Linked DNA regions of Schizosaccharomyces pombe. Changing the gene in region 2 together with the main gene of any one other region gives a genetic interaction. Each region holds a gene or a part of one and is shown on either strand. Other genes may lie near its edges.

Region 1 (7,760 bases), 1.3 Mb from region 2:
TGTAGTTGAAGTTCGTTTCAGCAAGGGCAATATGTATTAGTCCTTTCACCAAACACCACAGAGGTTGTTCAATAATATATTTTACAGCATTACATTCGTTTCTTCACGCGTAAAATATTTATTGCAGTTACATGTAATTTAAGAACATATTTATATCATTTTTGCAACTCATTCTGTAAAGGTTTTGAAGAGCTTTTCTAATTTTTGTTTTATTTTTTCGAAGAGCAGCGAAATTTGCTTCATCCTTTATTTTATACCATATCATCTTTTTTATCTCGCTTTTTTATTTTTTTTTAACTCATTCCCCTTAGTCTTTTTCATCACAATAATGGCTGCAGCAACAGGTTGGGAACGGAGTGCTGTATATTATACCCCAGTTCTCCCAGGAGAGCAAGAATTAGATTCCAATGTTAGTCATGAGAAGAATTTCATACAGTTTATTGAAGAATTTGTGATTGACAATGACTTTATCTATCGTACTCAACTAAGAGACAATCTCGTGGTAAAACAATACATGTTGAACATAGATCTTAGGCACCTGATCAGTTATAACGAAGATCTAGCTCATTTGCTTCTGAGTCAGCCGACAGATATTCTACCTCTGTTTGAGTCTGCTGTCACTACAGTTGCTAAACGCCTACTTTATAGAAGTCAAGAAAATGCTTCTACGAATATCCCCACTTGCCAGGTAACTCTACGTTACGATGCTAACATCCTTCCAATCCGTAACCTGACAGCTTCTCATATCTCAAAACTGGTTAGAGTGCCTGGTATCATCATCGGTGCTTCAACACTTTCCTGCCGTGCAACTGCTTTGCACTTAGTATGCAGAAATTGTAGGGCTACCAGGATTTTACAGATTTCTGGTGGATTTTCAGGTGTTCAGCTTCCTAGAGTTTGTGAAGCTCCTGTTCTCGATGGTGAAAAAAAAGACTGCCCGATGGATCCTTTCATTATTGATCATTCAAAATCGACTTTTATCGATCAGCAGGTGCTTAAACTACAGGAAGCTCCTGATATGGTTCCTGTCGGTGAGTTGCCTCGTCATATATTATTGAATGCTGATCGCTATTTAACTAACCAAATTACTCCGGGAACCCGCTGCGTTATTACTGGCATTTTTTCTATTTTTCAAAATAAGTCTGTTAAAGCTAGTGGTGCCGTGGCCATTCGGAACCCTTATATCAGAGTCGTGGGTATTCAAATGGATTCAAATGATGGCTCTAAATCTACTCCTTTATTTAGTGAAGAGGAAGAAGAGGAGTTCCTTGAAATTTCTCGTACTCCGAATTTGTACGATATTATATCCAACAGCATATCTCCCGCTATTTATGGTAATGTAGACATCAAGAAAGCTATTGCATGCCTACTTTTTTCAGGTTCTAAAAAAATTCTCCCCGATGGTATGCGCCTTCGTGGTGACATTAATGTTTTACTTCTTGGTGATCCTGGTACTGCGAAATCTCAATTTTTGAAATTCGTTGAGCGACTGGCCCCCATCGCTGTTTATACTTCCGGTAAAGGTTCAAGTGCTGCTGGTTTGACTGCTTCTATTCAAAGAGACTCAGTTACCAGAGAATTTTACCTTGAAGGTGGCGCAATGGTTCTTGCTGATGGTGGCATTGTCTGTATTGATGAATTTGATAAAATGAGGGATGAAGATCGTGTTGCTATTCACGAAGCAATGGAGCAACAAACTATTTCAATAGCTAAAGCCGGTATCACTACTATATTGAATTCTAGGACATCCGTTTTAGCTGCTGCTAATCCAATTTTTGGCCGATACGATGATATGAAGACACCAGGTGAAAACATTGATTTTCAATCTACGATTCTTTCAAGATTCGACATGATATTTATTGTTAAGGATGAACATGATGAAACAAAGGATCGAAATATTGCCCGTCACGTTATTAATCTTCATACCAATTTACAAGAATCTAGTGAGACTTTAGCAATTGGAGAAATTCCTTTTGATAAGTTTCGGCGGTACATAAACTATTGTAGACAGTAAGTATACCAAATTTAATATTAGTTACTAATGGATTTAGCAAATGTGCACCTAATCTTGATGCAGAGGCAGCTGAAAAGCTATCTAGTCAATTTGTCGCAATTCGAAAACGTGTTCATCAGTCAGAGCAGGACAGTAACTCGCGTTCTACCATTCCAATCACTGTTCGTCAATTAGAGGCAATCATACGAATTACTGAATCCCTTGCAAAAATGTCATTATCACCTATTGCTTCTGAAGCTCACGCTACTGAAGCGATTCGACTGTTTTTGACCAGTACACTTGCTGCTGCTACACAAAGTTCGCCTGAAGTTACTGAGGAAGTAAAAAAAATTGAAGCCAGCTTAAGAAAAAGGTTACCTATAGGGTTTCAGGCGAGTTACCGTATGCTTATACGAGAATACGTAAATGGGGTATGTTTATTGATTAAATCTAAGTCTAACATAATTTTAGCATGGATATTCACAACACGCGTTAGAAATGGCTTTACAAATTCTTTCGTCGAAGGAAACAATTCAACTCAGAAATGGCGGACAAACGGTGTATCGATCAGGAGTATGAAATTTAGCGAGCGTACTATTTATTAGATGATATAATTTACAAATATAATACATGATCGTGATAAGAAATATCAGTCTCGAGAAACTGCAATACTGCCACGTGCGTTGTCTATGGAAAATCCGTGACGACGTTGATAATCTTCTTCTTCTTTCAGATTATTTTTTTCAGAAGGAAGAAGGATGGCTCGATCAACAGCCCTGGGTAAACCTCTATGTCTACCGCGCAGTTCAAGTGCTATAATAACTAGTTTACTTATAGTAGTAAATCTTGCTGAAAGTGAACAATTTGAGGAGCTTAATCCAGTACTAAGTCCCACCGTACCGTAAGCAGAGACTACTTCAAAAAGGACAGTAAAAATACTGAAATCGGTATCTAGAGGATTGGAGATTTTACCTCCTTCACAAATGCATATGATGAATAGCCCTAGAAAAATATACCATAAATCGTAACTTAATTGTTCAGTAAGGTGATCTTTTAAGAAAGATTTCCCCTCATCATCTTCAGTTCTGTAAACACCCAAAGATCGCTCCTCATAAACATTGGTATTTCTCATGTTGATAGCAACTGGATAAACAGAAATATACATCATAACCATGTAACTGACCAGTACTGCTGGGTGAAGTTCACTAATTGATACACTCGTGAATCCTGCGGTTCTTGTACAAACTGATTGAAATATTGCATTTACAACCCTAATACCTTTAGGAAGGCTAGCGACTGCTTTACTTCCAGTATCTAAGACCATGAACAATACCAGATCAATGACATTAAGCAGCAGCAAAACAAAAAACAAGACCCAGGTTGCTCCAGATGGAAACAATAAAGTGAAACATCGTCGAGGATGATCAAGGAGAAATGCCATAGCTTCTTTCTTCTCAAAACTAAAAGGGTATAGCTTATACGTTGTCCAAATGAATGTTCTAAAAAAACAAGGGAATCCCGTGTTACCTGCGATAATGAATAAAGATGAAATCAACAAAAGAAAAATGTTTCGATTCATTGGCACAAAAGACGATGGTATTAAAGAAAACCCCAAATCATTAAATGAAGAAGCAGACGAGAATAACGCCCACCACCCACGACGTAAGTCATAAGAATCTATTACCTCTCGCGATCCCACTGCCGTATAAGCAAAAACAATGAAGGTCACAAAGGCAGCAATATTAAAAATGATAAAATAAAGGGTAACCATGGAGCAGACGCATTTCAAAGCTCTATATTCAATTCCACCCAGCTCGTCCCGCTGTTCTTTAGACAAAGCAACGAAAGCAGAATTACGATCGACAGTAGGATTATACGACAAATAGGGAAGTGACATAGTAGTGTGTCTTGATGAAATAGAAGGCTCACGTTTTTTAGCAAAGGCAGAAGAAAGGACTCGTTCAAGAGTCAAGTTTCGTCGGTTAGAAGTGAATGACTTTGTCCAACGTATTGGACGATGAAGTCCTCGCGAAAATCTGGAACGTAAAGATTTTTTATAAAAACGACTTTTTTTTCTAAGTTTAAGATTACGTTCACGCTCTATGGTGGGCTTATTAAGTCCGGTGAAAGCAATATGCATGTCAACTGTCGATGGTTCAGTGTCTTTAGATAGGGAGGAAGAAGACAGAGACGACCTTACTATTCCGTCTATTGTATTGGCAGGCCTTAAACCACCTTCTGGGAAAAGATTGTCGTCCCCAGTGAGAGTAAATGAATCCCTCGATACAACCAAATTAGTATCAGAATAACTATAAGCCATAGGGAGAGATTCCTGAACTAAGGCGCCTTCAGATAAAGTTTCACGGGTGTCGTCAGCCTCTAAAGGATTAACGGAGGAAATAAAAGAGCTTTGTCTACGAAGTCGGGGATGAAGGTCATCCATTTCATACATTTGCATCGAGGCTGAATGCGAACTACCAAAATCGTAATTTTTATTTTCAATGGAAGGTTCATAGTCATGAAAAGTCATGTTGTGACTTTCCAAATCCATGTCTAGCGTATCAGACTTTTTTGGGAGATACTTTCCAAAATACTCGTCTTTAGATATATCTGCCTTGGGAGAAGGGGGGTTGTCAGGAAAGTACGGATTGTTCGTACTGTCATGCGTGTCAAATCTCGAGAAGTTTTTTAGAGACGTTGGACTCCTTAGTGAATGTAGGTATGGTAACATTACACGAATTTTTCTACCACGAACACCCTGTTCTTCGTCATCCTCGCTTTTTTTCATTAAGCTTTTACGGAGCTTTCTCTGAAATTTTCGAGTACGATTTTGACGAACAACGTCTTTAAATTTTCGTCGAAACCAATACAGCCGGATGAAGGAAATACTTCCGTGCATCCATATAGGAACCGTAATAGCAGTAAATCCATACAGGATAAACTGCTGCCAGATAGATAAAGAATTTAAGTCAACACTGTTAAGGCCTGTTTGGGTAGTTGCGCTGCTAGCTAAGAATAAAGCATCGATATACTTGATTTTCGTGGTGGTCCCTCCGGTAAAAAGTAGGATAGAGGCAATGATAGTTAAGGATATAATGTAAATATAATGAATTGCCAAGAATCCAAAAGTTGGTATCACCCACTTGAACCATCTTTGAATGTAATTTAGGACCATTTATTTTAGTCAATACTTCCAGCCAAACCCACCAACAACAGAACAAGAAACAGAGAAATTGGTTTGAAGTTAACGGAAATCCTTAACTATGGACAAGATAAGAAGCAATTAGTTTTGAAATCTACGGGTAAAAGCGATACTGATGAGGAAACCACTAAATTTCTAAAAGGGAATTATGACAAATGACAAACGACATTTTTACCCAATCTTTGACGATTCCTTTCAACAATACTTGAGGATTCCTCTCTTATAATACAACGTAAAATCGCGTCTTCTTTCCCGTAGAAGGTAGTTTCTAAGCGGTTCAAAGTTTCAGCCTATACTTCGACCATGTTGTACGCTTTGGGCAGTGAAGTGAGATTGTTGACGATCTTTAACATAAATCGTTGTTGTTCCGTAAAAAATGTTAACAAGATTTAGAGTGTTCAAGTACTTTTTACAGGTACCGTATTTAAATTAAGGAAAGTCCAAAAGTTCGCATAACAACGCATAATATGAATTGATGTAGCCTAACAAAATGCACTATCTATGAATTTTACGAACTAGCAAAATTTCTAGCTTTGAACAGTTTATCTTCCGTAAACATTTGAAAACCAGGCGAAAAGCAGGCATTTTAAAGCTTTTCGCTCCTTGCTTGCATAATTTCTTTTCAAGCGTTTCGTTCTTCTTGCACAGCCTTTGCTAAACGGATTTTCAGTAGAAAAATGACAGAAGTTTCAAAGGCAGCAGCTTTTGATCGAACTCAGTTCGAGGAGTTAATGAAGAAGAGATTCTTCTTCTCTCCTTCTTTTCAAATCTATGGTGGAATTAGTGGATTGTATGATTATGGCCCACCAGGTAGTGCACTTCAATCTAATCTGGTTGATATTTGGCGAAAGCACTTTGTTATCGAAGAAAGCATGCTGGAGGTTGATTGCTCCATGCTTACTCCTCATGAAGTTTTGAAGACTAGTGGGCATGTTGATAAGTTTGCAGATTGGATGTGTAAGGACCCTGCTACCGGTGAAATCTTTCGTGCCGACCACTTGGTTGAAGAGGTTTTGGAAGCCCGTTTGAAGGGTGACAAGGAAGCTCGTGGGCAGAATTCCAATGACCAGCCTGAAGAATCTGATGACAAGAAGAAGCGTAAGAAGAAGGTAAAGGAAATTCGTGCGACTCGTCTGGATGACAAGACTGTTGAGGAATACGAGTTTATTCTTGCCCAAATTGACAACTATGATGGAGATCAATTAGGTGAGCTCATGAAGAAGTATGACATTCGTAACCCTGCAACCAACGGTGAGCTTGAAACCCCTCGTCAGTTCAACTTAATGTTTGAAACTCAAATTGGTCCCAGTGGTGGTCTGAAAGGTTACCTCCGACCTGAAACTGCCCAAGGACAATTTTTAAACTTTAGCCGTTTATTGGAGTTTAATAACGGCAAAGTTCCCTTTGCCAGTGCTATGGTTGGTAAAGCCTTCCGTAATGAGATTTCTCCTCGGAGTGGCCTGCTTCGTGTTCGTGAGTTTTTGATGGCCGAAGTCGAACACTTTGTCGATCCTAAAAACAAAGAGCATGATAGATTTGACGAGGTTTCTCATATGCCCCTTCGTTTGTTGCCCCGTGGTGTCCAATTAGAAGGAAAGACTGACATTTTGGAAATGCCCATAGGTGATGCTGTCAAGAAAGGAATTGTTGATAACACTACATTAGGTTATTTTATGGCCCGTATCAGCTTATTCTTGGAGAAAATTGGTATTGATATGAACCGTGTTCGTTTTAGGCAACATATGAGCAATGAAATGGCTCATTATGCTTGCGATTGCTGGGATGCCGAAATTCAATGCTCTTACGGCTGGATCGAGTGTGTAGGTTGCGCTGATCGTAGTGCCTATGATCTTAGCGTTCACAGTAAAGCTACCAAGACTCCTTTAGTAGTTCAAGAGGCTCTTCCTGAACCTGTTGTTGTTGAACAATTCGAGGTTGAAGTTAATCGCAAAAAATTTGGTCCACGTTTCAAACGTGATGCCAAGGCTGTTGAGGAAGCTATGATTTCGTGGCCGGAATCGGAAAAAGTTGAAAAAAGTGCTCAACTTGTTGCTGAAGGTAAAATTATTGTTAATGTTAATGGTGTTGAGCATACAGTAGAATCTGATCTCGTCACAATTGAGAAGAGAAAGCATACTGAACACATTCGTACTTATACTCCTAATGTTATCGAGCCATCCTTTGGATTAGGCAGAATCTTGTATGTACTCATGGAACATGCTTATTGGACTAGACCAGAAGACGTAAACCGTGGTGTTTTGTCCTTCCCTGCTTCTATCGCACCTATTAAGGCCCTCATTGTTCCTTTGAGCCGCAATGCTGAGTTCGCTCCTTTTGTAAAGAAATTGTCTGCCAAACTTCGCAATCTTGGCATTTCTAATAAAATAGACGATTCTAATGCCAATATTGGCCGTCGCTATGCTCGTAACGATGAATTGGGAACTCCCTTCGGGTTGACTGTAGACTTTGAGACTCTTCAAAACGAAACTATTACACTTCGCGAACGTGATTCTACTAAGCAAGTTCGTGGTAGTCAAGATGAAGTTATTGCTGCTCTTGTTTCTA
Region 2 (7,398 bases):
TGTTCGATATGTACGAATAAATTTACGAATGGCTAAGGCTTGCACAGTAATTAACATAATAATGGAAGGAGAGAAGCAAAGTAGGAAGGGCCAAAACATATCACCCAGTTCCTCCGGTTTTGCATATAATTTCAGTGGCTGACGATATGAATGCAGTAAGTCAGACCATAACAAATTATAAGAACTAGTAGAGACAAACAATGATGGAATATGAACTTTTGACTCGTCCACTTTATCGGGGGCAACCATATAATGTAAGCGAAATGAGGAAGGTGATCGATTGTCACCAACTATAACCCCTTTAAATCCGAGCCTTTGGGCTTCCAATGCTTTATCAAAATAGGTACACTTGCCTCTTTGAACCAAGAGAAAATCCAATATTGCTTCATCCTTTGACTCGCCCCCATCATCCTTTTGTACTCGAGCAGAAGGCTTGGAGGAATATGATTTTTGCTCTATATACTCAATGTCATAGTCGATTATATCATTTTCGTAAAAGTAGGAAGCGTCAGTATCGTTTCTGTTTGGGCATCCGGACATATCCTCTTGGAAGTTAGAAGGTAGATAAAGATTAATCACAGTGGTAGCTGAAGCGTTCGTAAAATGTTTACCAAATACTGCCTGTCGTGACCATAGAGTGACATTACGGTCCGGCAGCTGAATGGCAACATCTGTACTGGCCGCAAATCGCTTAGGAATAAATATGTTATCTAACACTCCAAGATCTAAGGCAATTACCTCTAGAAGAATGATATAACTAATGGATGCTAGAATACAAACTATTATTTGATAATACGACATATTAATAATTTACAGAAGGCGTGAAGAGTGGAGGAAGAACGGATACCGCAAGGTGAAGCCGCTTAGTTATATAGCACCTGTATAACGATAACTACAGAGTCACCAAAAAAGGTATGCGTAAGCTATTTTGAGATATTTTATTTTATTTTAAAACCCTTTTCACTAGTAGTTGCCAGGATTATTCAATTGATTAGTAACATTGTCAGCATTAAGGCAAGTTGCAGTGTTCAACAAAAGGAAATCCGATATTTGCGAGGGATAAAAAAAATTAATACAATTTATTCCCAATCAACTTATTTTAAAGACGAAACAGTCAGTAGAAAACAAGCTCTCTTGAAAGATACTTTGTATCTGATCAAAAGAGGTAAATACTTATATAATATTGAAAAGTATCATTGTACTGTATAAAGTTATATAATAAGAACTTAAGATATTTAGCTATATAATATTGTAAACATAAGTCGAGCATTCTCTTGCTCGTTAGATTTCTTATATTATTCAGTTTCAGCAGCTTAAAAACAACATCCTCTATCTTTAAAACAACTTTTAAAAAAGAAGAAAATTCTCTTTATATCTTTGCATAGTATCATACATGGATTATCAGGCATGACAATGAATCTGATAATCGATTATATTTCTACATTGAATCTAAAAAAAAAATTAAAAAAAATTCATTTTACCCTTTACTACGTAGGGTCATTTGTTTTTCCAGTCACAATGGGTCTTTAAATAAGCCAAAATCAAGACATTCTTCTTTTCTTTAATGGTTATGAAAGTCGAAGCACCATGTACCGTTATGTCTCATTACAATTAACTCTGCTTTAGTAGTGTCAAACAGTGTAAATAATTGAAATAAAACGGTTTCTGCATAACATTGAAAGTATAAACTGACAGCTTGCTTTTTCTCAATTCCATTAACATGATATAAAAAATTATATTGACGAAGGTGGGGTTCGAACCCACGCCCACATACGTAGACTAGCAATTGCTTTCACCTGAAGCTAGCGCCATAGACCACTCGGCCACTTCGCCATAACTACTGAATTTTAGAAATTTAGTGTATATATTACTAAACACTTTGAAAGAGCCATTAAACTGTAATCTTTAGAGATTATGTGTGCCTTTATTTAATATATCTGAATTCGTTACTATTCTTCGAATGATTCATTGAACCTTGAAATAATGTGATAAAATATCTTGATTGAACGAAAAAGCTGACACAAACAAAACAACGCAGGAGATTTATCAAAGAACTGCCTACTTGGCAGCATTATGCAACAAAAGTAGCTTACTCATTATACAATAAGGAAACCAAAATACTTATCACAAATGGATCATGGAAAGAAGTACTTAAGTACGATACCACATTCAACTTTAGTTTTCAAAGTGTTGTTTTAAGCCCATCGTATGGGAGATTAGTAATTGATAGAAGATTTACAAAGAAATGGATACATTTTCGCTTTAAATTTATTTAATGCTAATAATAATACTATAATAATTGTTTATTTCCTCCTCATGTAAATTTTTTACCTACTCTTTCGATGTTCAGCAGGTGTCGGTTAGCAAAAATAAAAAGCAAGTTAACTGTCACTATATGGAAATGATTGTGTTTTTATTAAAAGAAACAGAAACTTATACTAAACGTGTCAGGATGGAATTGCCCTCGAACCGATAAAGTGAACCAAGGACTTGATCCATCACCATAGTGACTATAACATAATAACAGATAATACTCATTTAAGAGAATAAAATAGTGTCCCAATAAAACCGCTAGATAATTTCAAATGGAGACCAAAATAGAAAAAATAGAATGCTTACACGCTTTGGGTAACCTGCTCAGCAGGGGGAGATTGATAAATAGCCATACCACTACGCTTGCTCTTTTTTAATTCTCGTCGAATTGCTGCCTGGTCGAGAGGCTTTATAAGTTCAAAGGAACAAAGCAGCTCTGAATTAACACTCATCACGGCCCCCCAATTATCAAATTCCCCACAGTAATTAGGGGCAGAAAACACCGTACATAAAGTTCTGTCATTAAAAAATTCATAACCGTCTTCAACAACCATGTGAGCACGACAGATTAAATCAAAGTCGTGCTTGGCCAAAAATTGCCGGATAACGTTTTTGTTGAAAACAAAAGAAACACCTCGTTCATTATCTTCCCAATCGTTTTCAGTATCAGCAGGATCTGACCATAACAAATCATTCAGCAATCCATAGTCAGGAACGTCAGTAGGACGAGGAATCTCCCGTATGTCATCCATATGACTTAACGATGGAGAAAGACCACCATGAACGCAAAAAATTTTACCGGCTACAACGGACGCAATGGGTAAGCAATTAAAGGTGTTTATGAAAGTCTTCCAAATTTTGATATTGCAACGTCTTTTACACTCATCGTAAAAACCGTAAACGCGAGTGATATTAGCGCATTCATGATTGCCCCGTAGCAAGAAAAAGTTTTCTGGATATCTGATCTTGTACAAAAAGAGCAAGAGGATGGTTTCAAGACTCTGCTTACCACGATCGACATAATCGCCTAAGAATAAATAATTAGAGCTCGGAGGAAACCCACACATTTCAAACAGTCGAATTAAATCGGAATATTGACCATGAACGTCACCAACGATTTTCACCGGCGGGGTCAATTCTAAAAGTGTCGGCTGCGAAAGAAATATTTCTCGTACGGCCATACAAATGCTGGTAATTTCAGCATTCTTTAGACACACACTTTTACTACTTTTTCGAGAATAGCCAACATGGATCAATCTTTGAATCATTTCATCTACGTTAAGGCTAACAACTGTTTCAGGATCATCAGGATCCGTAGAAGAAATTGCCGAATTAGGGATAATTACGGGCCCCTGCTGATCTTGTGGATACACAGGACCATTATGCTCAGAAGCTGAATCAAAGTTGGAGCCAATTGGGCCAGAGCTGGTTGGTGAGGTAGGTGATGTTGGAGAAACGGCATAAGAAGAAGAAGAAGAATGATGATGATGATGCTGGGAAGCGGCCGTAGAGGGACTAAGCATGGCAGGCTGGTTAGAAGGATGCGGCGACGTCGGAGATTGAGAAGAATTTCCCGAATCCTCCTGTTGATGCTTTTGCAACACAGCCGGAGATGTAGCTAATATCCCAGGAGAAGGAGGAGGAGGAAGGCTTGGTGGTGTTTCGGGATACCGGTGACGACTATGGGTTGTATCAGTAGACGTTCGGCGATCATGATTCGAGTCTTTGCCCTTCCCCAGGACTGTTTTCAGAGACTTTAAAGACTTAATGGATCCTTGAGTGTCTGACCGAGAAAAGGATGGGTAGGAATCGAGCTTGCTGTCGGCGTGTTTACTGCTCCCCTGTCCCATTGTATTTCAATTAATGGTAGATTCCGGGAAACTATTCCACTTTGTTCTATTTTTATTTTCTTTTTTACTTCAAAATCGAGACTTCGTTGCTTGCATTTAGTGCCAAAATTAAAAGGTTTCCCAATTGTACCTAGATTTTTTCTATTTTTCGATATTTTCCGTAAATTAGTAGATTTTCTCTTCTTCAAGTAATCCTGGTCTATAAAAATGTTTTGCTTTGCTGACAAAACACAATCGTTTAAAAATTTGTAAGGTCGTGGTGAAGAATGGGTTAACAAGTGATGGGAAGTGTAGTATAAATCTGATAGACGTAGTAGCCCGTTCCATCTTACTCGAGAACTGAACTCGCTGGGTCCATCTAGTGTGGTGCAACGATGATGGCGCACTTACTGTATAATAACTGCAGTGTATTCCAAAGTAAAATAAAAGGCGCAATTGATCCACGTAAATTAACGTTAAATTAAATATGGAAAAATTTCGCGTTACGTTATATACTAGTCTGATTCTTACTCAAATGTTTTTGTTTTGGGTCGATTGGGTTTCTGATTGTGCGATATTCTCTAAACTGTTGTAATATCCATCAAAAGGCAGTTACATCTGTTAATACTAGTGTATAACCTGAGATACCATTTTTGCTGTTCGTTGAACTATTTTTCCCAATTTTTGAGTTTTCCAAAATGCTTATGTTAGACGGTGGCTCTACTGCCATTCTTCCAAAGCTTCCTGAAAGTATATCTGAGTCTAGATTATGGACCTCTGAAGCACTGGTGCGTTATCCAGAGATCGTTGTTAAGCATCATGAAGAATTTTTAAAAGTTTGCGACATTATTAGTACTTTCACTTATCAACTGGATGCTTCTATCTACGACGAAAAGGTAGAAGGTGTACCATTAAAACAGGTTTACGCAAACAGCATTGGGTTACCTGTTTATGCTAGAGAACATTTGGGTTTGCCCAACAAATATATTGCTTTATGTCTCGGAAGTCATGCTGCTACTATTCCTGGATGTATGGAATACAAAATGATTTATGATAAACCCACCGATTTTGAAATGCTATACAATTTTCATAAAAACAGAATTGAAGCCATTCAAGCATCTAATCCTAAAGCTTTCGAAAAAATTGACTTCATTGCATTTGAAAGCCTTCCTCACGTGACTGAAGCAGAAGTAGTATGCCAACTCATTCAAGATATGAAAGGTTGGTCTAAGCGTTGCTGGATCACCTGTACGTGCCCTGAGCGCAGCACTATTGAACGAGTATCGTCCATTATCTCCAAGATACTGAGCATCAATCATGACTCTATATGGGGCATCGGTGTTAATTGCTTTCACCTCAGTTTACTCGAACCCATCGCAAAAATGCTATCCAGTCTTTTACCATCCAACATAACTGCTATTTTGTACCCTGACGGCCGCGGGTTGTATCAAAATCCAGACGGTACTTTTTCACCTGGCTCAACAGATCATCCTGCCCCTTCACCTGAAGAATGGTCAACTATAACGGCTAAATACTCAAATCTACATAATGGAAACCTGATACTCGGTGGATGCTGTGAAACAAATTATAATCACTTATCTTTACTCCGGGAGAAAACGAAGTAAATTATAACCATTTTAATTAATTTTCCTCATGATATTAATATATTTGTATTGAATTAATTTTTTTCTTGTTTAAAGTATTTACCTCAAAATATATATTTCTTCCCAATATCCCAAAATCCATTACAAATGTATCTAATCTACTGCAAAAGATATCAATCTAATAACAAAAATCCAAAACTCAATGTACATATAAGAATCTAATTAGGTGCCTTAATAGGATTAATGACTTTACCACGTTTGGTAACAACTCTGGGAGCAACAGCCTTATGATGTGAAGCTCGAGTAGTCCATTCTGGTCCCATAGGCAAGTTAAGAGATCGTTCATACTGTTCTCGTGATTCAAATGGGAACGGAACACTATCAGCAGTAAGCTTAGCAGCTTTCTTGTTGCGTTTTTCATTAATAATCACATGCTTTAGCTTAGAATCCTTCCGCTTTGACGGATCTAGTCCAGCAATTTTTTTAACCTTAGGCTTAGTCTTTCTTTGTTTTACGCCAACACCTCCCCATGAACCCCAACCGGGCAAACTATGATCTTCTTCTTTCGGTGCATCCTCTTGAACCCAGTCTTCTTTATCCTTTTCAAATTCAGCGACAACATCGTCGCCAGCAAATGCTTTAGCAACAAGCTCTCTCTGCTTAATTGACAAACGACCTTTGGTTGGCTTTAACATAGGTACCGAAACATCAACATCCGATTCCGCTTCCGACGCTGATTCAAAAGCCTTTTCTTCAAAAATTAAATCAGGCTGAACTTTAGGTTCTTCGACAAGTTCTTGAAGGGAGGCAACTTTGTCCATTTTTAACTTGTGATTCTTTTTGTCTGCCTTAGAGCTGTTTTTATCCAACTTTTTGGCAGAAGAGGTCCTTTGGTCAGGTACTTGCAACCATGGATTAGTTTCCTCAGTTGCTTCTAATGGTGATTCCTTTTTTTTTCGAGCTTCGGCCTTCTTTTGTCCTTCCTTCATTTCCGGTTTGTTGACTTTCAGCACCGCTGAATCAGAAACAAAGGGATTTTTCCTTGATGGCAAAGATAATTTTGCAGCTTCTTCGGAAGGCTTAAATGAACGACGGCCTGTATTATTCCCTATTAATACTCCAGGAACCCCGTCCTCTCCTTTTTGAGATGTATCATCTTCATTGGGTACTCCTGCGAGTTCGTCTTCGAATGCTTGCATTTCATCTTGCACTAAAGCCTTTTGTCGATTGGACGCATCACGCATAAATTTCATGCCCAGTACACCTTTTAACTTTGGTTCCTCTTCATTTCGTATTTTTTCAAAAGCGGTTGACACCTGTTCATTTGTGTCATAATCGCTATCCGAGAACTCAGAAACATCTTCTCCATCCATTTCAGATATCTCTTTACCATGGATACGTTGCATAAGCTCGTCTCCTTTCCGTATTTGCTCATTGACTGCTTCACGGGTTCCTTCACCATGTGACGCCCTTTCAAGCATTTTACGGGTCCAAGAGCTTGTGTTTTTGTGACGTTGAGTCATTCTTTCCAAAGCACGAGCTTCTTCAGATTTAATCCGTTCATTCTCAAGATCCTCTTCACTCTTAGGAATTAAAGCCATTTCTTTTTCTTTACGATTCTTTCTGATCTTCCTGTAAGTTTTGCTTTTTAT

What was found. Genes that interact genetically often act in the same process or in processes that back each other up.
Region 1: of pzh1 (region 2) and trk1, changing one suppresses a phenotype caused by changing the other (phenotypic suppression), as found in Schizosaccharomyces pombe (one study listed by BioGRID).

What each region holds. Positions count from the first base shown.
Region 1 is NC_003424.3:2,815,614-2,823,373, forward strand, and holds trk1 (plasma membrane potassium ion transmembrane transporter Trk1), read right to left. Parts: upstream 5,459-7,760; 5' UTR 5,169-5,458; coding exon 2,643-5,168; 3' UTR 2,573-2,642; coding exon of another isoform or gene 2,465-2,572; 3' UTR 2,425-2,464; downstream 1-2,424. Other genes in the region: MCM complex subunit Mcm5, read left to right, coding at 329-2,010, 2,052-2,424, 2,465-2,572; glycine--tRNA (Gly) ligase Grs1, read left to right, coding at 5,873-7,760. UniProt on the Schizosaccharomyces pombe protein: Together with TRK2, defines the major, high-affinity potassium influx transport system. Involved in maintenance of the proper sodium/potassium ratio in the cell and in regulating the plasma membrane potential.
Region 2 is NC_003424.3:1,525,349-1,532,746, forward strand, and holds pzh1 (serine/threonine protein phosphatase Pzh1), read right to left. Parts: upstream 4,425-7,398; 5' UTR 4,164-4,424; coding exon 2,616-4,163; 3' UTR 2,217-2,615; downstream 1-2,216. Other genes in the region: rnf13 (RING finger protein), read right to left, coding at 1-801; SPOM_SPAC57A7.07C (homocysteine methyltransferase), read left to right, coding at 4,841-5,767; U3 snoRNP protein Utp14, read right to left, coding at 5,965-7,398.